2 linked regions of the Lytechinus pictus genome follow. Each later gene encodes a partner of the first gene's protein in a complex. Links are inferred from orthologs where the notes say so. Each region holds a gene or a part of one and is shown in the gene's direction. Other genes may lie near its edges. The genes, in order: WD repeat-containing protein 48-like and ubiquitin carboxyl-terminal hydrolase 12-like.

Region 1 (16,796 bases):
GTCTGTAATAATAATAATATAGGGTATTTATGTTGCGCACATATCCACCTTGTTAGGTGCTCAAGGCGCTCCTGTACATGATTAATTTCCGGATTTTATTTTGCATCTTTGCTTCCTGTTCATTCACAGGAGGATTTATATATAAAAGTTTATTATTTGGGAATAAAATATGATTTGGAGTTGGGATTTGTGGTTTGTGAAATTAACATGCAGAATTGTTCTTTAAATACATTATTTATAACATTTAAGTTTAATATCAATTGCTTTATTAGATCACTGTAATCGGATATACATTCTCAGAGAGTCTCAAAGTCATTAACTATTAAGGCTAAACTTCTAAATGAAATTAAATGAATGGTAATGAATAATGAGTAATGATAATCAAACCTGCACATGAATATAATCAAAAATAAAGTTAGGCCTATAGCTTTCATAAAAATAAATTATTTCATTCCCTTGCCAGTGATGACACCAAGCTACTATACATTCTTGAGTTGGAAGGTTCTCACTTTCCGTTGCATTGTGTGGATTGATCGGATCCAAATTTGACTATTTGTAAATGTAAATGATGTTGGAGCAAAATCACTGATTAAAAAATCGGACCGAATTGCGATTACTTATTCACTGCGATTGTGATATCGAAAAATAGGTGTTATTCATGACTTAATCTCTTTCAAGGGTTATGATATACCATGCTTTATTAGAGGATATATTTTAAAGATGCTTTTCTTTGCTGGGAGGAAGTTCAAGTCAGAAAATTTTATGAACCCGCAAATTCCGTAATATGTAATAGGCCGTGTCCTTAGATCTTTCACAATACCCAATAGAATGGATGAATGAACGATAATATATCATCCAGTGGGGGTGACACCATCGGAAGGAAAAATATTGCCTATTTATTTTGACAGTAAAGACTTGGACCGCAAGTGAAGATTATGTTGTTTGGCATACAAATGCTGTGATGTTGTGGGGAAAATAAATCGAAGGAGTCAAGGAGGTGAGATTAATAATGTTGCACTATTTTGGAAAATTTATGGAGCGAAACAAGTAAGCGAAATATGACTTTTTTAATGATTCATGGTGTAATTTGGCGTATAAGGTTTTATTTGCCAGATTTTAAAGGAAGTTTATTGAAAATCATGATTCTGAAGGACAATGGCTCATCAAATGATATTAATGTTGTGTTAAATCACCCCCCCCCCCCCGTATACGCCAATGTACGAAATTGGAGGGGGGATATATCCCACAACGTTTGGGTTGGAGTAAGATCCAGTACATACAGCTAATATACAGCTCATACAGCTAATGAAAAATTTAGGTCTATTATCATGATTGGGAAATGCGATGTGTGCACTTATTTTTAGATGAATAACGTTATATGAATTTGAATTGAATATGAAAATACCTGAAAAATAAGATATTTTAATGGGGAGATGTAATTAATGAGCTAGTAAGTGACTCTCGCATTATTACCCTGGCAAATTGTGATTTTATGTACACTTTGTTCAGCCCCATCACCCCCTTCGCCATTTTGGCTTGGGCCCCCTAAATCAGTATCCACTATGTAGTTAGTCTGCGGTCCTAGCTGGTAAGCCTCATAGCTTGTATATCACACAACCTTCAAAGATTGAAATCCGAGCAGTTTTTATATATTGATGTGTCCCGTTTCTGCCTTTTAATTTGGTTTTAGTTTCAGTGTGATATAAACAACGTATCAAACATCAATATTTGCTCAGAAAAAGATAGATGATTTGCAGAAATTCAATTAAATTGCAATCTTTAGATGTCAGTTTTGGTGTTTTCATATGATAGGATTAAGGATCACAAAATATAGTTGGCAATTGTCATTGTATTATATAGGTCTCCCAAAATTTTAGCTATAGATCTTCGCGATCGGACTGTAGGCCTATTCATTTAGTGCGATAGTGCACATGATTTTGTTAGGGAGACGCATAAATCCTCTCAATGAATTCATACAAAGAATCTTTGGAATGATCCATTGTATGATCAGTATCAGGCGCGTATCCAGGATATTGCACCCTGGGGGCCCGACCAAATTTTGGCGCCCCTTGAACTTTTCGGAAAATGGCAACCCCCCCCCCCCCCCGCCAGGCAAACATAGGTGACTTAAATCATGGACCCTATGCTTAAATGCATGTTGAATTCTCTTATTTCATAATCACGTGAAAAGGGCAATCGAAGACCACTTTTTTAACGCGTTCATGAAAAAAAATATCCGTGAATATGTTGTAATACCACTTTTTGAAAAGAATAAATGCGACCAGAAATCATAGAATTTTAAGCACTTTGGGTTTCAATTTAGTTTAACTTCTCATCAGAGTGGTAGGCCCTACTAAAACTATGTTTGCAGGGGCTGTAATTTCTTTGCCAGGGGCGGATCCAGCTTTCGCCAATGGGGGGATATTTTCATATATATGTTTCCCTATCGGACATTCTAAGCACTTTTTGCAACCATGGACATGATGGGTATACGTATATTTAAACAATTGATGCGAGCACAAAACGCGAACTGAAATTTTGTAATATTCTGGCCTCAAAGTTTGAAATCTATAAGTACTCGAGGTAATCAAGAACAGGATGGGTATCTATCTTAACATTTTATGTGAGTGCGAAGCGCGAGCTGACAATGTTTTTTAATTTCCTAAGCGCTTTTTGTAACCATGAACATGATGGGTATCTAACAAATAATTTTTTGCGAGCGCAAAGCGCTAGCTTAAAATTTGTGATATTCCGGACCCAAACTAGACATTCTAAGCACATTTTGTAATCATGAAAAGGATGAGTGTTTATTAAAACAATTGTGCTTGCGCGGAGCGCGAGCTGAAAAAAATTGATATTCTGACCTAAAATTCGGACATGATAAGCACTTTGTGTAATCATGATCAGGATGGGCATCTAATTAGTCGATGCGAATTTTTTTTTTATATTCCGACCCAAAACTCGACATTCTATATGCACTTTTTGTGACCATGAACAGAATGAGCATCTATCTAAACAACTGACGCGAGCGCGAATCGCCAGCTGAAATTTTTTTTATGTTCCGACCTAAAATTTTGACATTCGAGTAAGCATTTTCGGTAATCATAAACAGGAAGAGTATCAAACAAAACATTTCATTGAAAATGTTTGATATGTCGATCCAAAGTTGGACTTTTTAAGCACTTTTGGTAACAGGATGGGCATCTAACGAAGCTATTGATGTGACCAACCTTAATCTAAGCGCCTCCCCCATGTGAATTTGGCACCCCAGGACAAACATCAAATTGGCGCTCTTATGTCAAACATCAATTCAGTGCCCCTATGTCTAAAATCTATTCGGCGCCCCCTCCCCTTAGGCTGAACATCAATTTGGCACCCCTATGTTGAACATCAATTCGGCGCCCCTAAGTCGAACATCAGTTCGGCGCCCCATATTTCGAACTTCAATTCGGCGTCCCTCCCCCAGGTTGAACATCAATTCGGTGTCCCTATGTCGAACATCAATTCGGCACCCCCGTAGGTGGAACATCAATCCAGCACCCCTATATTGAACTTCAATTCGGCGCCCCCTAGGTTGAAGATCAATTCGGCACCTCTATGTAGAATTTCAATTCGGCACCCCCCTAGATCGAACAAAAGTTCGGCGCCCCCAATGTCAAACATCGATTTGGCGCCCCCCCCCCTTTGGTCGGCGGAAATCAAGTCGGTGCCCCCCCCCCCCCCTCCTACGTCGAACATCAATTCGGCGACCCCCCCCCTTAATTCCTTCTTCTTTTTCCCCCTTATTTCCTTCCCCCTTTTTTCTATTTCTTCTTTCCCTCCTTTTTTCTCCCCCTTTCTTTTCCTCTCTTTCCTTTCTCTTTTTGGCGACCCCGTTTTCGCCTACCCGGAGTCCCGGGCTCCGAGCCCCCCCCCCCCAGAACACGCGCATTAGTATGATAAAAAAACTTCAGCTCGCGCTTTGTGCTCAATTTATTTATTTAGGTCGTGTGAGATTAGTGTCAGTGGCTTAAACTAGGGCGAAGGGGAAAAAAGGATTACAGCCCCGGAGGGGGGGGGGCACTTATATTGACGAGTGGATACCATGCATGCACGAAAAGCACCCTAAACAAGTATTTTCCATATTCTGAAAATGCACCCCTTAACAAGTATTGGCGTGTGAAACCCTACCCTTAACAAGTATTGGAAACAAAACGATACCCTTGGCAAGCAATTCCCTGAATTGAACCCCTAAACAAGTAGATCTAGATCTACAGCGATATTGTAATCGTTATGTCACGGACGTCGGTTTTACCTTTACCTACATCACTGGGTTTAGCCCCTTTCACAATTGACGTACGACCATTTGCGACCTTTTGGTCGTGCGACAGGCTGCAACAGGCATCAATCGCTAGTCATCTCATAAGATCGCACAGAGGCTTTCACAGTTGCAACAGCTGTCGTACAACAAAAACAACCAGTAAACCCCGTTGCACGAGTAAGTCGCATATGCTCTTATTGTGCTCGTGCGATCACATGCGAGTGTTGCACGAGGGATTGCGAGTGGAACGGTCGCATACATGCGAATGAAATGGTAGTGCAATGTTGTAAGCCGTTGCGATCGGTCTTGCAACAGTCTTATGGCCCATATTATTATCGCAACCAGTCGCAAGACAGGTCTCTGTACATGTAGGTCGCTTGCACATGTGCAAGTGTTGCACGACCTCCAGTCAAGTAAATGCGACTACTTAGTTGTGCCACCTCTCGCACCAAGTCGTACAACGTTGAACAACACTCGCACGATGATCGCCCGACCGATAGTACGACCCCGGGTACGGCCTGATGCGAATGAATCGATCGTATTTGATCGCGTTCGGATTTTGAACATGTTCAAAGTTCAGATGTGACCAGCCACGACCACCTCGAGTTCGTGCGACTGTCTACAACGACTGCGAGTGCTCGCAAGACACCAAGAGATCGATCGTGCAACAACAAGAAAAAACTGTTGCAGGCGGTCGTAAACTGGTCGGACGTCAATTGTGAAAGGGGCTGAACGGTCGCATACATGCGAATGCAACGGTAGTGGAATGTAGTAAGCCGTAATTTCGATCGGTCTTGCAACAGTCTCATATTATCGCACCCAGTCGCAAGACTGGTCTCTGTAGGTCTCCAGCACATGTGCAAGTGTTGTACGACCTCCAGTCGACTAAATGCGACTATACTTAGTTGTGCCACCTCTCGCACCAAGTCGTACAACTTTGAACAACACTCACACGATGATCGCCCGACCGATGGTACGACCTGTTGCGAGTGAATCAATCGTATTTGATCGCGTTTGGATTTTGAACATGTTCAAAGTTCAGATGCGACCAGTCACGATCACCTCCGACCACCTCGAGTTTGTGCGATCGTCTACAACGACTGCGAGTGCTCGCAAGACACCAAGGGATCGATCGTGCAACAACAAGAAAAAACTGTTGCAGGTGGTCGTAAACAGGTCGTACATCAATTGTGAAAGGGGCTTTTAGTACGGCCCCACCTCCCACACCTCGCGCAAATCGTACTCTAAACACGTAGTGTTGACTGTTGCTTTGGGGGCAAAAAGTACATCCTTTATAAAAAAAAATTATTTTTATACCCTTGCAAATTTGACCCTAAACACCTAGCTCTCCTAGCAAAATAGATACCCTTTTAAAATAATGTTAGTGTTTTTGGCACCTTTAATTATATACCTCTCTTTTTTACGTATTTTTGGGGGTCGCGCATGGTACCCACTCGTCAATGTAAGTGCCCCCCCCCCCCCCGGATTACAACTAAACTTTAATTGAATTTGAATTTGAATTTATTAATAAACTTCATTCATATGGCATGAATATTTTGTTTTAAAATATATACAATGATAACATAAACAAAAACATTCATAACTGTATGTCGTATAAATCAGTAATACATCAATACATAGATTTCCAATTATTATAAAGATATACATCTATATACAAAGAGAAATGACGAATTGAAATTTAACATAAAGAAGGTGTAGCATAATGCAATATACATAAGTTATCTAATTATCGAATACAAATCAGGAAGTAAATAAATGTATACCGTTAGAGATATAGCTTTGGTAATGGTGGCTTTGGTGGATTTTAGATATTATGAATGAAATTTAAAAAGAAAAATGTACTTGATGTTAAAACTCGCCCCTCTTATTTATAATCGCTTTGAAGAACTTACAAAAATTATCAATTATGTTTTCATTATCAAGTTTCATTATGAATATAAATTTGTCTTCATCGCTAAGTTTCTTAAACTGTTTATACATTTCAGCTATTTTGTAAAAAAACACCACCCTTTCAGTTGTGTGTACATCACATTCTATTATCGTGTGATACTCATCCCCAACCCTTCCTAAATTACAATTATTGCACGTTCTTAAATGTGAGGGTATTTTATCTGGACGTCTTCCAGTTTCAATGGGTAAATTATGGGAACTTATTCTAAATCGACAGATGTTTTTCCGTATTTTCTGATTTTTAACAGTTAATAGATATTTCTCTGTTTGTATATTCTGTTTAAAAAGTTTATAAGTTCTCAATTTATTTTGTTCATTATCATTTCCTCTATGATTACGTAAATCCAATAAGAACTGGCGATTGAAAATATCTTCAACTTTGTTTTCTATTTCTTCTTCTACTACTCTATCACTATCGACTATCTCATCTAGTTCTAAACAATTCTTATTCACATCCAAATATATGTTAAACCCCTTAAGAAGGTGTTGCAGGTTTCCTAGCCAGCATTCGCAATTATTCTCAATTATTTTTTTGTTTTCTTCAAAAAAGTGATGTAGCAAAGAATCTTCATCTATACTTTCCGCTAATTTGTGTTATCAGTGGATACATTCCAACTTCTGCAAGTATTGCTAAGTGGCTGCTCCTTTTGTTAATTCCTAAGACATTTCTCAACCATTGAAACTGGACACATTGAATTTCATTTCTCAAATACAACTTTGAATTACCATTTTCAAGCTCCGCTAACTTTTTTAAAGTTGACGGTAAAAGCGCCCCATACCTCCGAACCATATAAGAGTATTGGCTTTATTAAAGAGTCAAATATTCGTGACGCGGTTTTTATATTTGGAAGATTGTAACAAAAGGATTGAAATAATTTGAATAATACTCTCTTGGCTTTATCTGCCAGATTAACTCTTGTATCTTTGAATGAACCGCAGTTATTGAAAACCAAACCTAAATATGTTGCATGTTTAACAACTTCTATGTTCTGACCGTTAATTTACCTCGAAAGCCTGATCTTTCAAATTTTTTCCATTCTTGTTACAATTCATTAATTTTTGTTTTGTCAGTATTAACATTCAATAGCCATTTATCACAGTAAATACCAAGTCTATCTAACAATGTTTGCATTCCACACCTTGATTTTGATACCAATACAATGTCATCTGCAACATTAAACAGTTGACTAACTTTCCATTCAACTCAACTGGATCAGTGTCAGTAATTCCTAACTCATGAGGCAAGTCATTTAGATAGAGGTTGAAAAGGGTGGGACTTAATGTACACCCTTGTTTTACACCACAATTGCTTCCAAAACTCTCGGTTATCCCTTCATTCAGCTTTACACTCAACTTTAGTTTTTTATACATATTAGTTACAATCTCATAAAAATTGCCTCCTATACCATATTTCAGCATTTTGAGGAAAGTTTCCACTGACGAGGATCAAGTTGAAAATTTTTGCTAACACTGGTGAAAAATTGTATATACCTGCTTTTAACATTTCATTTAGAATCGCATCACAACCAGGTGCTTTCTTTGGTTTAAGTTTTTTAATACATGCCACGACTTCGGGAGATGATATAGAAAAATCCAACGAACTAAAGGTTCTTTTCAGATGTTCTTCATTTAGTTGACCCTCAATCACCCGTTGATTCTCAGTAAGTGAGTAGTCCTTATTCATTAATTTGCAGAAGTAAGTATACCACTCTATATGTGAAATCTTTCCCGAAATATCATTTCTTTCAGTATGCAGTTCATTCAAATCATTTATTATACTCCACCTTTCTTTTGTGTTAGTGCTTTGCATGTTTTCTAACTTTGTTTACATATTTTCTCTGCTTTCTCTAATATTTGTTTTTAGTTTTTTCTTGAATAATTTCCTACACGTATAATACGTATTTCTCAATTGACAATCGAACGGTTTCTTACATACTTCCCGACACAATTTCTTAACCCTATTCCTAAGTGCTTCTGTTTCTCTATCAATTTGAAACTGTTTACATTTTCTTCGTAAATTCTGTTTCTTCCTTGGTATTTTCCTTGGTATTTGAGCTGAATCAGCCACGTGTAAAATACAGTCAGTCAGCTCGTTCACCGCAGTATCTATTCCGTTTTCATCTAACATGTAATTCTTTTCATACAAAGAATTAATCATGTCCTTGTTTTGGGGCTCTTTCAGGGCCCTTTCAAACTGTTCTCTGCTAAACTGACCCTGCCATTTAAAAATATCTATAGGGGTTGCTTTAACTCTTTAACATTGCTTTCACATTGATCTTTATGTACATCTCTGTAATGATTTGCCCTAATCTTTACCTCTATAGGGCAGTGGTCTGAATGAGTCGTTAAATGTAATACATGGAAGAATGTGATTAGACCATATAAATCACTATCTGTCAGTGTATAGTCAATAACGCTCGGTGTAGCACCATTAGCACCATAACATGTAAAATTTCCATTCGTGTCTCCAAACGTACGACCATTTAGAATTCGGAGATCACACATTTTACATAACTCCAGAATATATTTTCCCCTATTGTTTGGGGGTCTACAATCCTGGTTTCTTCTATCCATCAGATTAAAATCATTATCTATTCTATATTGTGGTATTAATCGACCTATGTTGTCTTTTTCTGGTGTATTCTGATCAGACACATTGCTGGTGTAACCATTAAAATCTCCCATCAGTAGGCATTTGCCTTGCCTCTTGTGTATTGCAGTATCTTGCTTGATTTTTTTCTAACACATCAATTTCCGAGGAATAAGTCGAATTTTCTGGGTTAATGTAAAGAAAACAAATAATTGTTAATAACATGGTAGGTCCATGCTCATACGACTTACTTGAAATAAAAAAAAGTTACTAGAAAACATAAACGGCAGCTAATTCTTCTAATTCTTCTATTTTTCTAATTGTAATGGTACGTGATGAAATAAATGAAACGGTCACCAACAGTAGCGTACGCAGGGATGGTTAGAGGGGTTCAACCCCCTAATTGTTTTTATACCCACCCACCCCCCCCCTTAAAAATTTTGTGAAGACTTTTTTGGGGGGCATGTCAATTTTTCAGAGGTACAGACTGACTTAAATTTGTGGTGAAAACCTTTTTATTTATTTATTATTTTTTATTTTTTAGTTGTCGATCAACATTTCAGTCAGCTTGCTCCTGTGACATTTAATCCGGTCTCAATATTTTAGAGGGCATATGGTTATTTACTTAGGATTTGATTAGAGTTCGCCTTATTATTGTAATAAGTTTTTATTTGCTCATAATAATATTGATATAGTTTGGAGGCTGGGTCTCAGTATGTTTGCTTATAACGTCCACTATCGGGAGCCATCGTCGCCGGAGCAAATGTCATGGTTCCAAAATATCCTGATTTAGGACGGATAACTTTGCTAACATAGCCACTGATGCTGTCTCCCCCAAAGCCCCCCCCCCCCCCTCCCCCGCTCTATTATTATTACTAACGTTAGCACAAAAACCTAATCTGAGTTTGCAAAAATTACCCAGATCACATCATTGATAGGTGGAAGTCTAACTTTATTTTTATTTTGGTGCTGTGCTGATGTCAACAACCCGCCTAACACAAGCACCAAGCTCAACACTGCACCTACCTGAGGTGTCCGTGTAGAGTTGTAGCGTACACGAACAATACACTGCACCTGAATCAGGCGTTTGGTGTAGAATATTATGACGTCATTCTTGTTGGGGCTCTCAAAGAATGGCGGTCCACCACAGGCAGCCGAGCAATTCTAGGCGAAAAGTTCAGGTATATTATAAGAATGTGAATTGGTGTATATGACGTAAAATATCTATAAGACCCAAGGAATAATTAGTCCATGTTTTTTCTCACTGATAGTGTTAACAGTTTTTAGGTAGAATCTAGTGAAATTCCCATATTTTCAAGTGGTCTCTCATAAACTTTCTTCTCAGTCCCACAAATGATTGTACACGTTGGGTAAAGACAAAGTTGGGGCCAAGTATAGTCACGTATTGTATTACCGGACACTATTGTGATTCCGGACGCGCATATAAATGGGTTCGAAAACAATTTCGTACCGTAAGACTTCCGCAATTCATTTTCACAGGTCATAGAACAAGATTGCAAAAACAAGGCGAAAAAATCAAATTTCTACCTTATTTATCTCTAAAATGACAGAAAATGCGTAAGTTAAATTAACCCAGAGAGCTCCAGCCCGCGTAGCGGGCTGGAGCCCAGACGCTCAGTGTGCAAACGGGCATTCAGGTGAGAGTACCGTGAAGTTTGGTCAAAATAATTTTGATAATACATAATTAAAACAGAAATTAAGCACTTGCCACGATTGTATGGATGATAGTCTAACGAGTGGCAGTTTCCTGACATCGAGGCACAGACTGGAACCTCAAAAAACGATCAGTTCTGTCGCGGTAGCTCTCCTCTTTCAGAATTCAACACAAAATGGCCGATCGAGACCGAGGCTAGTATAGCACTAGCGCATATAGACTTTGTCAAATTCGCGCATGCGCCCTACACCCTCTCGAACGGCCATTTTGCTATGAATTTTGAAAGAAGGAGAGCCACCGCGACAGAACTGATCGTTTTTTGAGGTTCCAGTCTGTGCCTCGATGTCAGGAAACTGCCACTCGTTAGACTATCATCCATACAATCGTGGTAAGTGCTTAATTTCTGTTTTAATTATGTATTATCAAAATTATTTTGACCAAACTTCACGGTACTCTCACCTGAATGCCCGTTTGCACACTGAGCGTCTGGGCTCCAGCCCGCTACGCGGGCTGGAGCTCTCTGGGTTAAAGTTAAATTAAACATCATATAGGCCCTAACATAGTTTTGCATTAACAATTGAATGAATTGATATATTTTCTAACGGAAATATGGGCCTGATTTGCCGAATTTCAATCTCGTCGGCTCCTTCGATCGAATGATGAGGTGAGGTGTATTGTGGGTGACCCTCGACGGCTAGTTCTCAAGGTACCGTGCGCGAGGTTTACCGTGAGTAGAGCCGTCGACGATCGGCTGCGCATCCATAGAACTTGATGAGCGTCACGATACGAACGAGCACTGGAAAGTGCCATGAAACATGCAGCTAACCAAAAAATAAAAAATAAATTAAGTTATCAAACACGAATTTATTACCAACATCTGCTCAGATTCGATATAAAAAAAGCAAACAAAAAGTAAGAATTTATTCATGATATGATATAAGAAGAAAGAAATCACAGAAATTTACATCCATACATCATTATAATCAAGGATATCTTTACCCGTCTGGCGCGCGTCCGGAATCATGATGTAATTTGTCGCGCACGAAAATAATTGTTTTTCGTGGAGGGGTATGCGGCAAGTGCGATGCAAAGAAAATGGTTGGTAAATATAAAATAATTTTATCATATTAATAATTTTCATAATATTTGGAATAGCAAGTGCAAATTTTTCTTGATTGTATTTCTTCTAGTTGTCATTTTTAAAGCACTGAAATAAAGGTGTCCGGCAATAGGATACACTACCATACTAACTTTGTTAGAATATTACTTAGGCAAGCAAATAATTTAGATCTAGACCAAAAGCTTCAGTCTCTGTATTTGGTTGTTCCTCTTAACTGCATTGGCTTCTCTGCGTCCTGTCGCTTTGGCAAAAAACAAAGAAAACAAGAAGGCGACTTAAAAACGCGGCAGCCAATTTTTCCCCGGCCCCGTCTTTTCATAAGAATAAAATATTAATAATTAATATTTTACTCGATTTTTTTATGAATTCTTGAATCTTGTTTAAAAATGAAATCAATATTGTGGAAATGAAATTGTATCCCATTAACATGATTTAGGGCAAGATCTTAGAAGGAAAGTAGAAATCTTAGGGGCGAAAATTTCATTTTTTTTCGCGGTACACTCACATGCATGGGACGCAATCCCTGGCTCCGTGGAGAGTAAGCACACGTTTCTCTCTAGGCTACTAGTAACCCAGGGAGCTCCGCAGGATCTCACCGTGCATTTACTCATACTCACGGGACTAGGGTAGATTGTTACAATAACTTGGAAAGAAAAATGTGAAAACAGAAATTATGCACTTACCACGATTACCGTAAGTAACGGTGTATTAACCGCACCCCCCATTTTCGGATGGAAAAAAAAAAAAAATCATTAAAAAAAAAATTGAATCAAACTTACTTTCTATCTCTAATATACGTATTTAAGAAAGAGTCAAGAACCAAAAAATATCGAAGAATTACTGGTAAAAAATGATGGGAAATCAGCGCTTCGTCACTTATCTGCAAGTTGCCGATATTATTGGCCACTTCCACACTCCGAGTCACCTCACACACACACATGTGGAGGTGTTCATTGCAAGTACCGATACCAGCATCAACATGGGGGCTCACCCATACGAGAAGATCGTTCATATCATATTTCCTGCATCACAGCCCCACTTTTGCTTTCAGAATTCTGTCTAGCATTCAATGTCTTGACATGAATTTTAGACAAGGGAATACGGGAAGGTTCAAGATACGAGAAATTTGCGATTTTGTTCAGGTGTTTTTCTTGTCTGCTTTGAACCACTACCAGTAGTTCTCAGTACGTGTGTGGCGGTATCTTACAGACAGCAAAATAGGAAAAAAAATGCTAGTACCGGTATACCGTATTTTCAATGGGAGCTCTGGGTGGGAATAAAGTGAATAATAATTAAAAATAAAAAGTCGGAAGGAGTGAAGATGGGGATTGAAGATTGATTTTGAGATGATGGATGATAGAGAGAAATGAAGGAAAGGCAAATGAAAGAAATTAATTGTCAAATAATACCAATAATTTGTCAAACAAAATAACTTCCACGGAAAGGTAAAGCGCCAGCTTACGTTGACGTTGCGATAAACATTACACATGCATGTCTTATTCGGCTAGCTGCACCGTGCTGTGCGATCGATTGGCGTCTGAACTTTGCCGCGATGACTAAAAAATGACAACAAAGACAGAGTCACACCATTAAAAAAAGTCAGTTTCATGAAGGTAGGTGCATTTGTTACCGTGATATAACTTTGAGGGACATTTACGGCAGATACCGGTAGTCATAGTTGCTTCCCTTTTATACCCGCGGCTCATGCCCCTCTAAACGGGATTGCCCCAAGCGGGTACGCTCGGCCACCCGACGCGAGTTGAAAACTGGTAGTGGTATCGGGCTGAGATTGGCTTGGCTCAGACCTGTCACCGTGTATAAACCGCACCCCCGACTTTTGATTCTGTCCCGCCGAGAAAAAGGTGCGGTTAATACACCGTTACTTACGGTATATGGATGAAGGTCTATCATGTGGTAGCATCCTGACATCGAGGCACAGACTGGAACCTCAAAAAAAAAAGAAGTTCTGTCGCGATACCTCTCCTTCTTTCAAAATTCAAAACAAAATGGCCGATCGAGACCGAGGCTATAGCACTAGCGCATATAGACTTGGTCAAATTCGCACATGCGCCCTACACCCTTGGTACCGGTCTCGATCGGCCATTTTGCTATGAATTCTGAAAGAAGAAGAGCTACCGCGACAGAACTTTTCGTTTTTTTGTGGTTCCAGTCTGCCTCGATGTCAGGATACTGCCACACGATGACCTCCATCCATATAATCGTGGTAAGTGCATAATTTATGTTTTCACAATTGTCTTTCCAAGTTATTGTGACCACAATCTACCCTAGTCCTCCGTTTTTTTCTTACTTTCTTTTTTTTTCTTTCTCTCCTTTTTTCCTTTAAACATTCATTCATCATCCCTTTTCTTTTTCTTTTTTATCTATTTCAAAGAATGAAGGAACCCTTTTTTTCTTTTTATTATTTCTTTCATCCTTTTATTCTAACTTTCTTTCTTTTCACTGTTTTTCTTTTTTCCTTCATTTTCTTTACTTCATTTTTCCCCTTAATTTTTTCTTTCTTTCTTCTCGATTCATCTCTTTTCTTTGTCTCCTTCATTCTTTATTTCACCCATTTGTTCACCCTCCCTCCCTTCCTTTCCTTTTTTCTTTTTTTCCTTCCTTTATATTTTTCTTTCTTCATTTCTTTCTTTCTTTTATAATTATTTTTCAGTGATTCCCTTTTTTATTTTGTGCCACGGTCACAAAAGTACATGAGAATATATGAGAGAGGAAATCATTCAAATAGCACATCAACACACTAATTTCGGTCATGGCCGGCAAGATAAAATCACATGACAAAATACAATTTTACAAATACAAGGTACATCAGTTCGTGTTAGAAAGAGGAAAAAGGCAATGGTACATGTCCATAGAACAGCACTTCTTTCCTTTAAATGGTAAAATCTTGTTATGAAATATTTTTTGGGGGGCAAGTGAAATATATATTCAGCAAGTATTTTCCAACTATTTAGAGATAAAAAAGGTTATGTAGCACCCTGTACAAGATTAAGTACATTTGACATCTAAAAAAAAGGATACTGAAAGAAATGGCCTTCGATGCCCTTCTTTGAAAAAGATTTTGGCCTTGGTGCCCTTTGTAGTGGCCTTAGTGCCCTAAAAAATACAAGGTATTTCAAGGCCAAACTGGCCTTGCCCTAAAAATGACGTAATTTAAGGCCTGCAATGCGGTTTTTCAGTTTTTCTTTTGACTTTTGGATTGGCCATTTTGAAGTCAATCCTAAATTTCCGAGAAAGTTTGCGAACTAGGAACAAAACCACAGGCACAGATTTCTTCATTTTCAATTCATTTTTCTGCGACCTCGCTTCTTAAATCTGAGCTAAGCCACAGTGTGCTCTGGAAATATGGTACAGATTCCGCATTTTTAATGGGAAATTTTGACTTTTTAAAGTTTTTTTTTTTAAGGTTCAAATCGGGACTTGCATGTGGTGAGTGATAATGCCTGTGTATCATGTGTTTGGTGTGTGTTGTGGTGATGACTACTGGCTTGTGAATTAGTTTGCCACGTTGCGAGTCAAATGGAGTTACCATGTGAAATTCCGGGTGCCTTACTTTAACATGCCTGGAATTCGACATGTGAACACAACAGAGCCCTCTACTAAATAAAGAAAAAATAATCACTATAATTCACAAAAGGATAAAGAGGTGGGAGAAAGGGCTTTATATTGTTCAGTGAGTTTCATAGAATTCTTTAAACCCTTTTAACAATTTCCTAATTTCTATTAATCTCATGATGCTGTTGCATGTGTTGTGCCTGTGATATTCATATGCACAGCACAAGCAATGCACCCATGGGTGTGGCAGGACGGAAGAATTTTGTATTTCCCCCTCCTTGATTGTATCCCTGTTCAGTGAATATGGCGGCATCAAATACGGCTGGATTTCAGACGGAATTTGATATCGGATTTAGCCCCAAAATCCTACAAAATGTGTTAAGAATTAGTTCAAATCTGTTGATAATTCAAAGAGTTTGAAAGCTCATTTCAAGTTTGGCTGCATTTCTTGATCAATTTAGGGGTCTAATTTTTAAAAGTTTACCAATTCTTTTATCGTTGTCGAAACTTAAATTGTTAAAGTTTCTGTGTGTGTTTGTGAAGTATCGCTGAGGAGCACTACTGAAGGCAGAATGAAACCAAAAGATAGGCTTGCTGCTTGCATAATGAATTTCACAGATTTTCATGGATTTTTGCGAGCGTGCGACAACGTTACACATGAGATACATGTACGTGCGTGCGCACATGCCTGCGGCATACAGCTGAGCGAGGTCCACACTGTTTATGTATTGGTCAGCACATAAAGATGTTCTATTTTGCTCCTTTTTCAGAAGTTGAGGATTACATGTATTTTGATGATCACATGTATTTATGACAAATGGAGAGCTTTCTATTACTGCAGTGGTATCTATGTTTCCTTTGCCAGTTTGCCTGGCCGTCTATTTTTCTGTTAATTTGTTTCATGGTCATGGACTTCTACAGCTTTTTGGGGGAGGGTTCTGACTTCCTCCATGACCATGTGGCCTCCCTTTATTGAAGCCCATTAACAGTTAAAACTTTGAAAAAATTGATTGTTTGCAAGGTTGAAGTTTATTCCCTGTAGCCTAAGTGGTTGTGTTGCATTAAGTACAGAAGCTACTTAATTTGTTAACTTGTCTTGTAACCTTGGTCAGGAAAAGGCCTGATAGAAGCTAACTGTTGCCCTGTTTAGTCATTGCCATCATGATTTCAAGTTTGTAGATATAAACTTTATATCCTACATAATGCACTTTACTTTAGAACACATGATTTTTGTCTCAGTCATCTTTCATGCAATTTGAGCTGATAAGATGGTGAAGGCCACTAGCAATCACACCAAAGCCTTCCATTAAGTACATGTAAGATTGAAAAACAAGCCACTTGATATGGGTGAGTGGACTTGCCTTTTAGTTATGACTTGACCTCACATTGAAATATGTGTCCATTTTTTTTTCTGTGCGGGTTCAACCAAAAATCATCCAGTTCAACTAGCTTTAACTCTTTAACCACAGTTTGAAAGTAACATGATATTATAGCACTAGTATAGAACTACTTCAAATTTCACATCAGACAAAACAGATGCTATTTTTACTGTAAAATGCTAAATAGA
Region 2 (16,760 bases), on another chromosome or scaffold:
TTGCGACTCTTTCTGCAACGGGCCCCAGAACACGCATACACACTAGTCTGCAGGCACAGACCCTGATTGGAACTTTGATCAATAAGTGTGCCTCCACGCAAAGACTAGCACATACAAAGCTTGCTGTTCCAATACGACCTTCAGTACACAAGGCATGAGTATAGGCTGCACATTCAGACCCTTAACTCGAGTGAAGGGTGTGCCCAGCAGACTACATACACACACCCCCTGCATAGTCACATGAAACAACAGTCCAGTGAATCTATAGGCAATTCCCGTCAGATTCAAGGGAACTGATATTCCGCCCACTGAGCCCAGTCTCCCTCGCTCTCGATTCCGATTGGTCGACTTACCGTGTCAATCAGGGGCCCGTTGCAGAAAGAGTTGTAATCGATCGCAACTCTAAAAATCATGCGCAACGTGATTTTCAACCAATCAACAGCGCGCATTTGGGACTTGGGATTGATTTTTTGACTTGCCTTAAAACGCAACTCTCTCTGCAACGGACCCCAGAACGGAGGACCGGCCCGGCCGCCTCCATTGGCGATCGAGTGGATACCATGCGCGACCATGGGTCTCGAAAAGCACACTAAACACGTATTTTCCATATTCTGAAAATGCACCCATTAACAAGTATTGGCGTGAACCCCTACCCTTAACAAGTATTGGAAACAAAACGATACTCTTGGCAAGTATTCCCTGAAATGAACCCCTAAACAAATACAGCGATATTTTATTGTTACGTCACGGGTCCGTCGGTCGTCGGTTTTACCTTTACACATCGTAGTGTTGGGGCAAAAAGGACATCTTTATAAAACATTTTAGTTTGTTTTATCATCCCCGCAATTTGACCCTAAACACGTAGCTTTCCTAGCGAAATAGATACCCTTTTTCATTATTTTTGTGTTTTTGACACCCTTATCACGTTACGTACGTAACGTGCCCTGACTTGAAAAAGACATCCCATTTACGTGTTTTTTTGGTCGCGCATGGTATCATTCGTCAATGTAAGTGGCCCCCGCGGGTTCCAATTAGAGGCGCGATAGCTCAATGAGTTTATTAATAATGATTTTACCAAAGAAGAAGTTGTAAAGATGATTGGTAAATTGCGAAATAATAAAGCATGTGGTATAGATAATATTTTAAATGAATACTTGAAAAACTGTCCAAATGTAATGATATCACTTATTGTGAAACTATTTAACATTACTTTGTCATCTGGTTTAGTTCCTTCGTTATGGAGTATATATGTATAATAAAGCCTTTGTATAAAAACAAGGGCTCGATCAATGACCCAGACAATTATAGGGGTATTACACTCTTAAGTTGTTTGGGAAAGTTATTTACATCTTGCATAAACACTAGACTTACTGAATTTTTTAATTGTGCCGGGATTATTGGTGAAGAACAAGCTGGATTTAGAGGAAGCTATAGCACAATGGATCATATTTTCACTTTACATGCTGGTTTAATTGATTTATATTTACACCGGAGTAAGATAATTTATTGTGCTTTTATAGACTATCGGAAAGCTTTTGATTTAGTTGATAGGTCATCCTTGTGGTATAAACTCATTTCTAATGGTATCAATGGTAACATCATTAGGGTTATATATAATATGTATCTAAATGCAAAATCGTGTATAAAACTTGGTTACAGCTTGTCCAATTCTTTTGCTTGTAATATAGGCACTGGCGTAAATCCGTGTTGATGGGTGGGGGGGATGACTGAAATATTTTGGCATTTTTTTGCAATCATGTTTTTAGATATGCAAGGAATTGTCATTGATATGTCCACAGTGGCGTACCGTGGGTCACGGCATTGGGGGGCCGGGCACCAGCAAACTTTTTGAATGACTGAGTGAGTGACCTAATAGAGAAATTTTAAGGACAATGTAATTAAACGGATATGTATCTCACTCATCAAATAATGCGAGCGCGAAGCGCGAGCTGAAATTTTTTATATTCACACCTAAAAAGGGACATTATAATCAAATTTGTGTAATCATGATAGGCACCTGTCTCGCTTAAAGGACAAGTCCACCCCAATAAAAAGTTGGTTTGAATAAAAGGAGAAAAATCCAACAAACACGACACTGAAAATTTCATAAAAATCGGTTGTAAAATAAGAAAGTTATGACATTTTAAAGTTTTGCTTAATTTCACAAAACAGGTATATGCACATCCGGGTCGGTATGCAAATGAGCAGACAGATGACGTCACCCACTCACTATTTCTTTTGTATTTTGTTATATGAAATATGAAAAATTCGAATTTTCTCCTCATTGTCATGTGGAACAAATTTTTATTCCTCCCTGAACATGTGCAATTACCATTATTTTAACAGTTTGTGGTTGAATCAAGTTGGTCCCAATTGTCAAATCTGTAAAAATTGAAATATTGTATAATTCAAACAATCAAAAACAAAAGAAATAGTGAGTGAGTGACATCATCGACTCTCTCATTTGCATATAAATGAGTTGTGCATATAACTGTTTTGTGAAAAATAAGCAAAACTTAAAAATGTCATAACTTTCTTATTTTACATCCGATTTTGATCAAATTTTCAGTGTTATGTTCGTTTGATTTTTATCTATCCATTCAAATCAACAATTTTCTGGGGTGGACTTGACCTTTAACAATGCGAGCGCGAAGCGCGAGCTGAAAACTTAGATAATTCAGACCTGAAGTGGGGCATTCTAAGTTTTCTTTGTAGGAATTAACCAGGACCATACGTATTTCATTAACCAAATGATGCGAGCGCGAAGCGCGAGCTGAAAATTTTTGATATTCAGATCAGAAGAAGGGAAATTTTAAGGACTGATTTTAGGAATTCATGAAGAGCAGACATATCTCACCAATCCATGAAAAATGCGAACGTAATCACGGACAGGAAATGTTTCATATATACGAAGACCTTAACATGGGGCAATCACTTTTGAGTCATGAAAAAAAAGCACATGTCACTACATAAAACAATGATAACTCAAGTGCTAGGAAATATTTGGTTTATATTGACTTGAAAACGGGATGTTTTGGTACAACAGGATTATATATCTCGTCAAACAGACAATGCGAGCACCAGGAACAATTGAGACGTAGGCCCTGGGCAAATTATGTTTCATAAAGTTATGATAAAAATGTTTCTTATGTAATGTAACTTAACATAATTATAATATGATATAACATTATAATGAATAATATTTTCTTCTTTCCCACTACGTTTCTCTTCCTTTCTCCCTCTTTTCTCCTTTTCCCCCTTTCCCCGTTTTTTTTTTTGGTCAGCCGATGGGGGGGATGTGCCCCCCATGTCCCCCGTAGTTACGCCACTGTATGTCCATATGGCAAATACCCCTCCAATATTATTATCTTTTTTACCCCATGATGGTTTAATGGTTTATTAGAGATTACATTTTAAGTTTTTTGACATTCCATCTTAATCCCTTCCCAAAGACCCCAACATTGATGAATTGGAAGTATTTCGTTTGGAAATGGTGAAATGGCTCTTTATTTGCATTTTATGATTCAATAATATTATTTTATTTGTTAAGCGGTATTTTTGGAAGAATTTTCACAAATAAAACGATTATCTCTTGTGATTTTTTTTTTCATTTCTTTCGTAAAAAGTGGGGGGGATGTTTGTACAGGCCATCCCCCCCTCCTCGAAAAGTGGGGGGGATATATCCCCCCCATCCCCCCCGGGATTTACGCCAGTGAATATAGGAGTAAGGCAGGGAGAAAATTTGTCCCCTTTACTGTTTGCAATGTATTTGAATGATTTTGAATATTTTGTTAGTAGGCGTTATAAAGGTCTTGATATGTGTGCTTCAGAGATTAGGAAAAATCTCAGTAATGATGATGTTGAAGTATTTTACGTCTTTATGTGTTGCTGTATGCGGACGATACGATTGTTATGGCAGAGTCTATGGCGCGCCATCTGTTTCATAAAGGCGATAAACTCAGTTTATCGCCGAAAAACCTAGTTTATCAATCGAAAAACCTAGTTTTTCAATTGAAAAACTAAGTTTTTCGCCGATAAACTTAGTTTTTCGCCGATAAACTAAGTTTATCACTTGAAAAACTAAGTTTATCAAGAAAAACTAAGTTTATCGCCGAAAAACTTAGTTTTTCAATTGAAAAACTAGGTTTTTTTGATAAACCTAGTTTATCAATTGAAAAACTAAGTTTATCGGCGAAAAACTAAGTTTTTCACCGATAAACTAAGTTTTTCAATGAAAAACTAAGTTTTTCAATCGAAAAACTAAGTTTTTCGGCGATAAACTTAGTTTTTCTTGATAATCTTAGTTTTTCAAGTGATAAACTTAGTTTATCGGCGAAAAACTTAGTTTTTCAATTGAAAAACTAGGTTTTTCGATTGATAAACTAGGTTTTTCGGCGATAAACTGAGTTTATCGCCTTTATGAAACAAATGGCGCGCCATAGGAGTCTGCTGATGAACTGCAAAATGCTTTATCAGCTGTACACCAGTACTGTGATCTTTGGAAATTGTCTGTTAACACAAGCAAAACAAAGATTGTTATATTTTCTCGTGGAAAAGTGCGTAAATACCCCAAATTTACTTTTGGTGATAGTACCCTCAATGTTGTTGATGATTATATACACCTCGGAACGACTTTCAATTATAATGGTTCTTTAATAAAGCTATCACTAAGCAGGTTAATCAGGCGAGGAGAGCTATGTTTGCTTTAATTTGCAAAGCAAAACAATTGTGCTTACCTGTGGATATTCAGTATGAGCTTTTTGATCAGCTTGTTGTTCCGATTTTGTTGTATGGTAGTGAGGTGTGGGGCTTCCAGAAACTCGATTGTATTGAAATATTTCATAGGAAATTTCTTAAAAGTTTGCTTAAACTAAATCGTGGCACTGCCAAATGCATGGTGTATATATATTATGGTGAACTTGGTAGAAGTGCCCTCGCAAGTAGAATAGAGATGCGTATAATGGTCAATTTTTGGGCAAGGATTAGTCAAGGTAACAAATCTAAACTCTCTTACACCGTCTACAGTTTGTTACGAAAACTTCATGTAAATTCTGATTTTCATTCAAGATGGATCTTAAAAATTAAAAGTATTTTGGACAATTGTGGAATGTCAAGCTTGTGGGAAGAAGACCATCTTTTAAATCTGAATCGGGTTAAGTTAGCTATGGAACGTAGATTACGTGATATTGATTATCAAAACTGGAATGAAGAAGTTAATAGAAATCGGTTGTGTTTCAACTATAGAATTTTTAAAAAAGAAACAGTTTTAGAAAAATATTTGTTGAAGTTGGATGTAGGAGATAGAATATCTTTATGTAAATTTCGATGTGGTAACCATAATCTGCCAATTGCTAAATGTCGTTATTCATCTGATCAACCTCTTGAAATATGTCCATTGTGTAACCTTGAAGTTCAGGGTGATGAATTTCATTATGTTTTAGTATGTCCGTTTTTCAATGATGAGCGTAAAAAGTATGTTAAGACTTATTATTACCGTAGACCTAATGTCATTAAGTTTAATTAGCTATTCAATGTAAATCTATTAAGCACTTAAAGAATCTATCAAAATTTTGTAAAGTCATCATGTCGAAGTTCAAATAATTTTGTTGTCTTTCCTTTTTTTCATGCACTTCCAGTTGTTGAATTGGTGTTTTTAAAATTAATGTACATGTTCGTAGTTAGTTCAGACTATTTTTATGCCATGTTATTAGTCCATATATTTTATTTTCGATTCTTGCCTTTTACCTGTTTGTTGTAAGAGTCTGATATTTTAAGCTTTTGTTATCTTTTAATTTTTTTTAATGTATATCTATATTTGTTGTTACACTATTGTATTTCTTCCAGCATGCCCCTGAAGGGGCCGTATAAGAAATAAAAATCACTGTATCACTGTATCAGTCTGTAGAGCGCGGGGGTTTCGGATTCCGGTGACCCGGGTTCGATTCCCAAGTGGTGCGCTAGTGCCCTTTGGTAAGGCATTTATCCTCATTACCAGGTCCCTCGGAGAGGACCTTAAGCCGTTGGTCCCCTGGTTGCTTGCTCACAGGCATTCGTGCTTTCTTAGCAGTCAGGTAAAAAACCTCGGTATAACATAACATACAACATAACATAACTGATTTGATACTGAATGGGATACTCATCGATCACCATGATTTGGGATAAACTATTATTTTTCATTTTTCTTTTAGGGATAAATCATTTCTTTTCGTTGTTTAAGGGCCGCTGAACGGTTTTGAGAGGTTGTGGTTTCGAAAGTAAAAGTGAGGGGCTAAAGCAAAAATAAACCCCACTCGATTGATCAACGTACAAATTACAATATAAATCAAATAAAATCTGAGCAGCATTTAAGTATACATAAGTTTGAAGAGACAGATACATAAGACAAATAAAATATCAAATCTCCATTTTTTTTTTAATTTACAGGTAATCTACCATTTTTTCGCCAAAAATATTCAATATCCTTAGATGCCTTTGATACGAGCTTTGAATTTTACAATATTACGGGTTTTGTCATTAAATTTACAAAAGTGAACATATTATTTGAAAGCAAGGAAAATGAATGCTAAAAAGTTATCACCTTAAATACGAAATATCTTTACAAAGGAGGAAATAATAATAGGGCCTATTCGAATGTTGGTTGTTTTTTTTTAATTGAAAGAAAGAAAAAATGTGACCGGGGCTAGTAAAAGCAAAAAAAAAAATAATAATAATAAACCGCACTCATTTTCATATCTTTATGCATGTTAGTGAAAAGGGGTCAAGAGCGAGGGCCGGGATTAAAATTCCCCTATAGCTAGCCCCCGCCCCCTGTTCCGCAACCCCTTGCTCCGTATGGGCCAGCTGATTTACCGTCACAAATCAAAACTAATGCTTTGATGGAAATTTTCATCAAATGTTCTCTCATCGTGTCAAGGTAAAAAGGTCATAAGGGCCTATACGTTCATGGTCGACTGTGATTTCAGATTCAGATTTATCATATTGATCTTACCGTCCTTATTTAAAACATAGTAATTTCCCCTCTGCTGCATGTGCGTATATGCAATAATGATTCATAAATGATATAAAATAAACACTAAAGACATGCAAATTGGGCGCGCTTGGAAAGAAATGGAAAATAGCAAGTGCACCATAAAAAGGAATAGGCAAAAAAAAAAAGACCCATGAAAGACACAGAGCAAAATCCCGGAGCAAAATGCGAGTGAAATGAAATATGTCTGAAAGTTAACTGCAAAATAGAGAATGGTAAAAGATGCATAGGCGAGAAGTCGAATGGGGAGATAAATAGAAAGTGGGCACGGTGAAGATAGGGAAAGTGATAGGAATTAAAATAGAGGGAATTAGGAAAGAGAGATTGAGGCTATGAGAATTATGCTCATAGGCTACAACCACCATTGGCTTAAAGGTGGAGGGAGGGCTATTTGGTCCCCTAAAAGTTCCATGACCAAGGGAAAAAATGAAAAATTGTGAAACATGGTATTGTTTGGTGACCGTCAAAATATCACAAAATTAGATTTTCTTAAACAGGCCAAAATTTCTAGAAATTATCCCACGTAGCCATTTCGTGCTCTCTCTCGATCCCTCAAAATTTTGGCTCATAGACCAAAAGATATTATGTATAGGCCACTAGACCATAGAGATGAAAACTACAGTGCGTATCAAAAAAAAGTTTACACTTTGAAAAAATCCTGTAAAATTATACATTTGTAATATCCTGAAGATTTTTCCACATTTTAACATTGGTACAGATCCATTTAAGCAAATGACGATATAACTGTCGAAAAATATTTCCGCTTGAGTGAGCACCACTTACTTTTGAAAATGTAGTGAAAAATGATTTGCGCAGAACTTTGAAATAGTTATGCAAATAAAAGTAGATCTTAATCATGAAGAAAACGTGGAATTTAGCTGGTAAAATTGATTTGAAGATATCTTTTACCTTTTTAAACTTGTTTCCTTGCCCAAAACACTTCGAAGAGTGCATTGGCCCACTCCATTCCCCCACACACCGAGGCCATCGAGACGAATTTTGCTTTGCACTGAGCTATGATTTACATGAAATGGCTTAGGCTTGATTTTAATTTTGTTAATCATTGTCAAGCTTGGGAAAAGTGTGGAAAAACAAGTATTAAATGAAAAATGAAATGTAAACCCACTTTAAATGATAAAAACTCAATGTAAAAATGCTGGAGATGTCTGATATAAACTTTTGTTCAGGTTCAGTTATGTCCTCCGATCCAGCTGGCACAAAAAGGGTAAAGGTTGTGCTTACTAAATGATGAAATGTCAATTTGGGTGGCAAAATTGTTACAAAATGCTTGAATGTATCTGTTTTTTTTTCAATTGACTAAAAGTGCAAGGGAAAAGTGTGAGAAATGTTATACATCTCTATGGGTGTAGGTCAAGTGCCATTTGCTGAAGTAAGCAAACAGATTAAGAAGTAATACGTACCGTGAAAATATAGAGATATATTCGTGTACATTATCAAAATAACTAGTACAATTCTTTGGCAATTTATAGACACTCTACTTTAGTATATGAAAATAATATATTTTGTACCAGAAGAAACTTCTTGGGTACCAGTACTCAACTTTAGTGCTAGTATCTATCAAACTCACATAGAGATCGCTATGATACAGTATAATATCACTAATTTCCCTTGATCAAATTATGGTCACTAGATTGGCAACGTTCGTACATGATCTGCCTGCCGTCTTAATCAAAGATGTATGCTGATTTTCCTTTTCCATAATTTGTCAACACCATTGCAATTCTAAGTTGAACAACCCGTGACAAATTGTTATCGATACTTCGAATAATGCTTAGAAAGGATTTGAGACCTCCGTAAATCCACATGCTCCATAGAGAGACAAATTTTCAACACGTACATGTATTCGTGTTTCTCTCTAGTTTCAAGAATGGTGAGTATTTTATGACTTTGTTCACCAAAATAGTCGTGATAGTGAGTGTGCCGGGCGGTCCGATCCGAGTCATCATTTTCAGTCACCAACGATCCCGCCTCGCTCGGCACAATCAATGACAATGACAATGTGAGTGTGCATGTGTGTATGTCGCAGGGGCGGGGGGCCGGGGCCTGTTTCATGACGAGATGGGGCCTGCCTGTACTGTAGGCTGTTGCATGAAAGGGTCTTTCGTTGAACCATTCTACGTAAGAATGAGATATCGCTTACCTCGAGCGGTGTTCGTGCAGGCTCCACTTCCGCTACACTACGTCTACGTTCGGCATTATCGTGATCCATTCCAAGTCCCCGGTGACTCGGATCCACGGACAATTTTTCACAACGTAAAACATGTCCTACCTTACCTCAGGCGATGTTCGTGCAGGCTCCACTCCACTTCACTACCGCTACACTACGCTCCACCTACCCGAACATCGGGACAGTGAACTAGATCGGATATTCCGAGTCATAAAAGGTCATGAAGGTGGGATGGCAATCATGGTTATTGTAAAATTTAAAGAAAAAAAATATAAAGACGGATATGAATGACTTAATATCTTACTTTACACCCCTATTTCACTCCGTGTCCATCCTCCGGTTATCCTCAAAATTGGTGATTTTGGGCCAGTATCTTTTTCCTCACACGTATTATTCACGGCCGATTTCAAAACATCGCATGCGATCGCGATCAATCAGCGACCGATCGCGTTCATATCCCTCTTTATATTTTTTTTCTTTAATTTTTACGATAACCATGATTGCCATCCCACCTTTACTAAAAATACAAAACGGCAATTAACCCGTTGATAATCATCTACCCCTCATTTCCCTCCTCTTCAAAACCACTCTGCCACTTTTAGACAGTTTCCTAGAGATGATAAATGAATATTTTCGATAATAAGAATCCTTAAAATCAATGAAAATCACATTAAAAACACTATTTAACTGTCTAATTACTCCTCGTGATCCGAGTCCCCTTCCCGTGTTAAGATTGTCTAATTTCTCATAGGAGGGGACTTGGATAACGAGGAGTACTATTACTCGTTATCCGAGTCCCCTCCTATGGGAAATTGGCAGTCTCAACACGGGAAGGGGACTCGGATCACGAGAAGTAATTAGACAGTTTAAATAGTGTTTTTAATGTGATTGATTTTGTTTTATTTAGTGTTTTTGATCATTGTTTCATCAACTTGGAAGAATATACAGCCACAGGAGAGAAAAGAAAAAGACTATTATTGTCGTTTGAAAAAGTGTCCGAGTCATTTGTTATTGTGTCAATGGGAAAACGTGTGGTGGAAGGAAGTCCCCGTTCAGTGAGAAGCTTCGCACCGTTTCGCATCTCGAACAATAGATTTCTTTTGAAAATCTTCCAACCGTGGATTCCATTGAAAGTTTGCTGATATTTGAGGTGTGTCTCAAGTTTGTCCCCAGTGACTTGGATGAAGATAAGGCCCTACGTTCCACCTACCCTACCTCAGGCGATGTTCGTGCAGGCTCCACTCCACTTCACTACCGCTACACACCCAAGGGTTCATTACATGCCGCCGCGCACAGAAAAATAAAGCCATAGAAGTCGTGTGTTGTGGACACCACTGAAGTGGGATCCCAGCACGCGTGACCCACTAGTTAGAAATCCTCTGCCAAACGCGGTTCATGGTGCGAGGTTAGTATACTAACACTAACCTCGCAATACGTGTGAGTGACCGCTACACTACGCTCCACCTACCCGAACATCGGGACAGTGAACTAGATCGGATATTCCGAGTCATAAAAGGTGGGATGGCAATCATGGTTATCGTAAAAATTAAAGAAAAAATATATAACGAGGGATATGAATGACTTAATATCTTACTCTACACCCGTATTTCACTCCGTGTCCATTCTCCGGTTATCCTCAAAATTGGTGATTTTGGGCCAGTATCTTTTTCCTCACACGTATTATTCACGGCCGATTTCGAAACGCGTATCGAGTGGACCTTCCAAATATACATGTAATAGCAACACTGATGTGTGTTGCTGCCCTCTACGTTCGTTGCATACAATGTTTTGAAATCGGCAGTGAATAATACGTGTGAGGAATTTGATACTGGCCCAAAATCACCAATTTTGAGGATAACCGGAGGATGGAAACATTGTGAAATACGGGTGTAGAGTAAGATATTAAGTCATTCATCTTTTTTGTTATATTTTTTTTGTTTAATTTTTACGATTATCATGATTGCCATCCCACCTTTGTGACTCGGTATATCCGTATTGGTTCACGGGCTTGATGTTCGGGTAGGTGGAGCATAGTATAGCGGTAGTGAAGTGGAGTGGAGCCTGCACGAACATCGCTCGAGGTAGATATCGCTCAACTGTTTCACAAAGCCGATTTAAGTGATACGTAGAATGGTCCTTGCAGTGTTGAAATTACTTTTTATTTTTACTTTAGCCCAGGGAGCCATTTTGAAAATTAAAGCCTTGACTTGGGCTTAAGGAGAGCCATTTTCAGTTTTCGAGACCCATTAAAAAAAAAATGATTCAGCGCATGGTTTCGCATCGCAGTTTTTCCTGCTTAACAAATTTATTTAATGTTAAACATTGTTTATTTAATTGCTATTTACTTTTTCTTCATTGCCATTGTTATTAATTGTTGAAATATTTTCTTTATTATTGTTCATTTGCATGTAGATCTTATGTTTATTGTTTGTATCTCAATTCTCATTACTTCTTGTATACCCAGTTGTTGTGTGTCCGGACAGGTTGTGTGTCCGGATGATCAATTTTAGAAAGTCATTTGGAAAAATTTACAAGCGAAGTTTCATCAATTTTTAGTACAAAATGTTAGGAAATATTATAGAGAACAAAATAGAAGATGATTACAACAATTGAATTCGTATTTTTAGTGTAATCCAAAGAAAAAAAAGAAGGCTTCAAAAATATAAAGTGTCCGGACACCCGACCCCCCCATCCTATATTAAATTAAATGGATGTTCTACTTGGTACTTGGTATGATGTTCCTCCGAAATACTCCAAGAAGAGTTTTAACTGGAGGTGTGCCGGAGAGTGTGATCTAGTTTTGTAAATTATTGGGTCTTTAGTAAGGGCATTTTGAAAGTTGTCGTTGATGGCTGGTCTACAGTTTCTGGTAGAAGGCCATTCCACTGGTTGATAGTTCAGATGAAGAAGGAATTGGCAAATGAGTCTGAGTTTGTGTACTGCTGTTGGAATTATCGAGTGTGTCCTCTTCTGCGTCTTGATGGCTTGGGCTTGATGAAGTTTTCATGATCTATGTCCAGTTGGCCATTCAGGATTTTGTAGAGGCAAGTTAGGCGATGACACTTCCTTCTTTCATGGAGTGGGGCCCACTCTAAGTCCTTAAGAATGGCACTGATGCTAGTGTCACGTCCGTACGTGTTAAAGACAAATCTAGCCGCTCTGTTTTGGACTCTCTCTATACTATCTATATTCTTCTTTGTGTAGGGGTCCCATGATGCGATGGCGTACTCTAGGTGGGGTCTAATGAGGGAAGTGTATAGCTTTTCTTTGATGGAGGGGGCACAATGGTAGAAATTTCTCTTAATGAAGTTCAGCACCCTTGTTGCTTTTGTTGTAGCATATTGTGTTTGTTTGTTCCAGCGAAGGTCGCGCTGGAGCTGGATTCCCAAGTACTGGACGTTCTCTTTTTCTTCCAGTCTAATTCCCAACATTGTGTACTTGGTAGGGTCAGGCTTCCTCTTCCGAGTGATCCTCATGGTATTGCATTTAGATGGATTAAACCTCATCCCCCAAGCTTGGGACCAGTCAACCATCTTATTCAAGTCTATTTGTAATTGCTGCTCATCGCCAGGCGACTTGATGGTATTATACACAAGGCAGTCATCTGCAAATAGACGAGTTGTACTGGAGACGTTTTCATGGATATCGTTGATAAACATCAAGAAAAGATGGGGGCCGATAACGGTCCCTTGCAGGGCTCCGCTCAGGACAGGTGTCCATTCAGAAGGGATACCATTGATGATCACCCTCTGAAAGCGATTCATTAAGAAGGAGGCTATCCAGTCCTTGGATATATTCCTGATTCCATAATATTTTAACTTGAGAAGAAGTCAATGGTGTGGCATTACATCAACGGCTTTTGAGAAGTCAAGTACTCCCACATCGATAGATTGTTTATTGTCAATGCTCTGAAGCAAGTCGTATGTGGTCAGGATAGGATAAGTTGTGTTTCACACGATCTACCTTTGCGGAATGCATGTTGATTGTCTGCCATTATGTTGAACTTACTCAAATGACTCATCACCTGACTATCTACTATGTGTTCGAGAAGTTTGCAGCATGTGCATGTCAAGGACACAGGTCTATAGTTAGCGGGATCAGTGGTAGCTCCTTTCTTGAAGATGGGGCATATATTTGCTCTTCTCCAATCAAGAGGCAGAGTACCAGTATCCAAGGATTGTTGAAAGATGAATGTCAATATAGGTGCCAGCTCGTGGGCTGCTAATTTTAACTTCAATTTTTAACTTCTTTTTTTAATATACAATTTTGTCCATCAAATTGAAAAGGATTAAGTTGATCAAATTTGAACAGAATTTGTACTCAGAGGAATCCTTTTCATAAATATATACTTTTTGACTAAAACTCACTTGAAAATTATTTAATGAAATATTGAATGCATCACAGCCTGACAGCTAACGTCACCATGTCAACTATTTCTCAAGCTAGGCTACGCTAGCGCAGCTCAGCCACTGAACATAGTACAGCTCTCAGTCAATCATCACCTCAACACACAGCTCACAGTCAATCATCACCACAACACACAGGCAGGTATGAAACTGCATTAGTGCCAATACATGTATAGGCTACACTCCGGCACTGACCGTTCCTCTCCAAAAATCCCCACAGAAAATCCTAATTTCGGTCTGAAAATTGCGGGATCTGCGCCAAATTTCCAGAGCACCAAGTGGCTTAGTTCAGATTTGAGAAGTGGAGTCCCCAAAAATTACTCTAAAATAAAAAAAATACCTCTAAAATAAAAAAAATACTGTGATTTTCTTCAGAGCTCACGATCTTATTTTCTTGCTTCTTCTTCTTCTTATGTTGGTTTGAGTGGCGATTAGTCATATTTGACTATTGTCGCCATTGACTCTATCTATAAAATCTCACTTCTCACATAATGATATTATTACCAATATGATGTATGCATATATGAAATGTTTTTCTTGTGCATCCTTCTATAAATATGAAAAAGATAATTATAGTATATACAAAAGTTTGTCGTAACTCTTGTCAAAATGGCATATAAACAAATCTTCACCAAAAACAAGCCGCTATCTTCAGCCCAGTTCCAACTCTAGAGTTGCGCTTGCCCTGCCCTTTCAAAGATGCAATCATACTGGTCAGCACGGTTCATTGCAAATTTAGGATGGTATCTTATAAAATTAATCCAATAGAAAAGGAAATTTTTGGCTATCAAAGTTTCGGCGAGACCTGGTGCCGCGCAACGTTTTGAAAAATAGTACAAGGGATATCGAGAGTTTGAAACTCTATACAAATTTTTCTGAAGCGCCGCGCCTGTGATTCTAAAAATCTACTCAGTTACACATCAGAATGCGACGATGCATGAAATTAAAAACTGCGGCTGCGCTGGCCTGGCTGTCTGACTGCTAATATGCAGTCGTAAATGGGAGACTTGATGGGCGTGGACTGGAGCAATTTTCATGTTGGGAGTCGCTCGGTACTTGGCAGTTTTAGGCAGTTGCGAGAGCGATTCCAAAGCACGCGAGGGCAGAATCGCTCGTCGCTCCTGTGTATTTTCAACCCTGGGTCCTTGGAAAGACACCTCCAGACATGTCCTATGTAGGCATGATCTTCTTTGCACACCGCCCGCCACCGTCGGCATTGAGAAAAAATGTGTTTACGGCAAGCCACACTGACATATCATCTTGAAATATTTTTTTTGGTCATTCGATTCCACTCTGATGCATTTTATCTGGGATGCGCCAAGTTATTGTTTATATGGGGGCTGTCATAAATTTCAGGTCGGACTCCACCCATGGGTGCATTATTGCCGCCGTGTACAGGATAATTGAAGGCACGGCGCATGCAAAGTTGCAACAAACTCCCGCAAATTTAATAGGAGGATTTACAGAATCAAGTCCTACGAAACTTACCAAATGATGTGAAGTAAATTCCCCCTAATATGATGAATATCCCTCAAATAGCGTCATTTAATCTGCTACAATGAGCTGCATTTTTGGTGAAAAGCGGCAGCAGAGCACTGTACGACCATCGCCCCTCTGCGTGAGGGTGCCCGCGTCGCCGGGCTAGCTGCATGCATACGCACTCACACGCAGGCAACCCGTTCCAAGGACCCCCGTTTTCACAAACATTTGTAGTTCCGAAGCCCGTTTCCGAGGACCCTCCTTTTTACAATAAGCCCGCTCCAAGGCCCCCATTTTTTTTGTCTCGCCCGCGGCACATACATGTACCTTCCACTTTTTGGTCGAGTACCCCCCCCCCCCCCCCCCCCGGGATAGACATGTTCGTAGTTCAAGGTTATAGTATACTAACCTCGCAATACGTGTGAGTGGTCGGACTGTTGCACGGCAAGATGACCCAAAACGGATGTCATTTTAACTTCTCCTGGGTATAGGCCCAAATATTTTTTTTTTTTTTTCACATTTTCTCCCTCTTTTTTGTTTTCCCCAACTCTTTTCCAGTTTTTTTTCCAACTAAACTTGAAATATCGAAATGGGTGGCAATCTCTCTGACCTCATGCTTCATCATTAGATAAACAACATGAAAACAATTTTTTAAAAGAAATTATGCATATGGTAAAGAAAACAAGTTTCTAACGTTCAGAAAAAAAAACTAAGCTGTTGCTAAACATGCTAAATTATTTATTTTTATTTCATTTCATTTCCATTATCATTATTTTTTGCTGAGATTAATTTTAATCAATGAAAATTGTTGGATTTATGCTAACTTGACATAATGAATGAAACAAAAAAAAAATAGCTAATTTAATTTAAAACATAGATTAGGCTTATAGCTTACGAATCCATCACAATCATTACAAATGAAGATATGTTCATTGTACCCACCCATGGTTGCATTACTGCCGCTGTGCACAGGATAATCACTGGCACGGCACATTCAACACTTTCAGGGGATTTTTTTTTAATTAGTAATAGACGAGAGATTTTAAATCAGATAAGCTTTTGATATGAAACTTACCAAACGATATGAAGCCAATTTCATTTCCTCTTTGTCTTTCTGGTAATTTACATGTATATCAATGATTTTTCTTGATGTTGAAGAAGGCATGGATTTAATTCGCCTGATCCGGAAACGCATAGAGAGGGCGTGCAATATTATTTAATAAACTTGCTTGTTTACGTCAGATCAGCTGTACTGCTGTACGAGCGATTTGCGTGCTGTCGCCAAGCGAAAGACAATGAAATCAAGAAGGCAACGTAAACACGGTGGCAAGTTTACCCCGTCTTTTCACATTTTTCTCGTTTTTTGAATGAATTCTTGCTTAAAAATGAAATCAATATCGTAGAAATGTTGGATGTGAAGTTGTATCCCATACGATTTAGGGCTAGATCTTTTAGAAGGAAAGTAGAAATCTTGGGCGAAAGTTTCAGGTTTTTTTGCGGTACATGCAGATGAATGGGAAGGAATTCCTGGCTCCGTTGAGAGTGAGCATACGCTAGTAAATGATTTTTACTCTCTAGGAGCCTCCTGGCTAATCGTCACCTGAACCTTTATTTCGAAATGACGACTCTTCATGAAATCATTTATTTCAATTAATGGAGA

Evidence for each region.
Region 2: WD repeat-containing protein 48-like (region 1) and ubiquitin carboxyl-terminal hydrolase 12-like share a complex: the UniProt entries of both Drosophila melanogaster proteins name them as parts of the usp12-46 deubiquitylase complex. The link is inferred for Lytechinus pictus from reciprocal best matches to the Drosophila melanogaster genes CG9062 and Usp12-46.

What each region holds. Positions count from the first base shown.
Region 1 is NC_087245.1:11,493,018-11,509,813, forward strand, and holds the start of WD repeat-containing protein 48-like, read left to right. Parts: upstream 1-9,549; 5' UTR 9,550-9,994; coding exon 9,995-10,042; intron 10,043-16,796. UniProt on the Drosophila melanogaster protein: Regulatory component of the Usp12-46 deubiquitylase complex. activates deubiquitination by increasing the catalytic turnover without increasing the affinity of deubiquitinating enzymes for the substrate.
Region 2 is NW_026974140.1:11,561,128-11,577,887, forward strand, and holds the start of ubiquitin carboxyl-terminal hydrolase 12-like, read left to right. Parts: upstream 1-8,736; 5' UTR 8,737-8,885; coding exon 8,886-8,918; intron 8,919-16,760. UniProt on the Drosophila melanogaster protein: Catalytic component of the Usp12-46 deubiquitylase complex.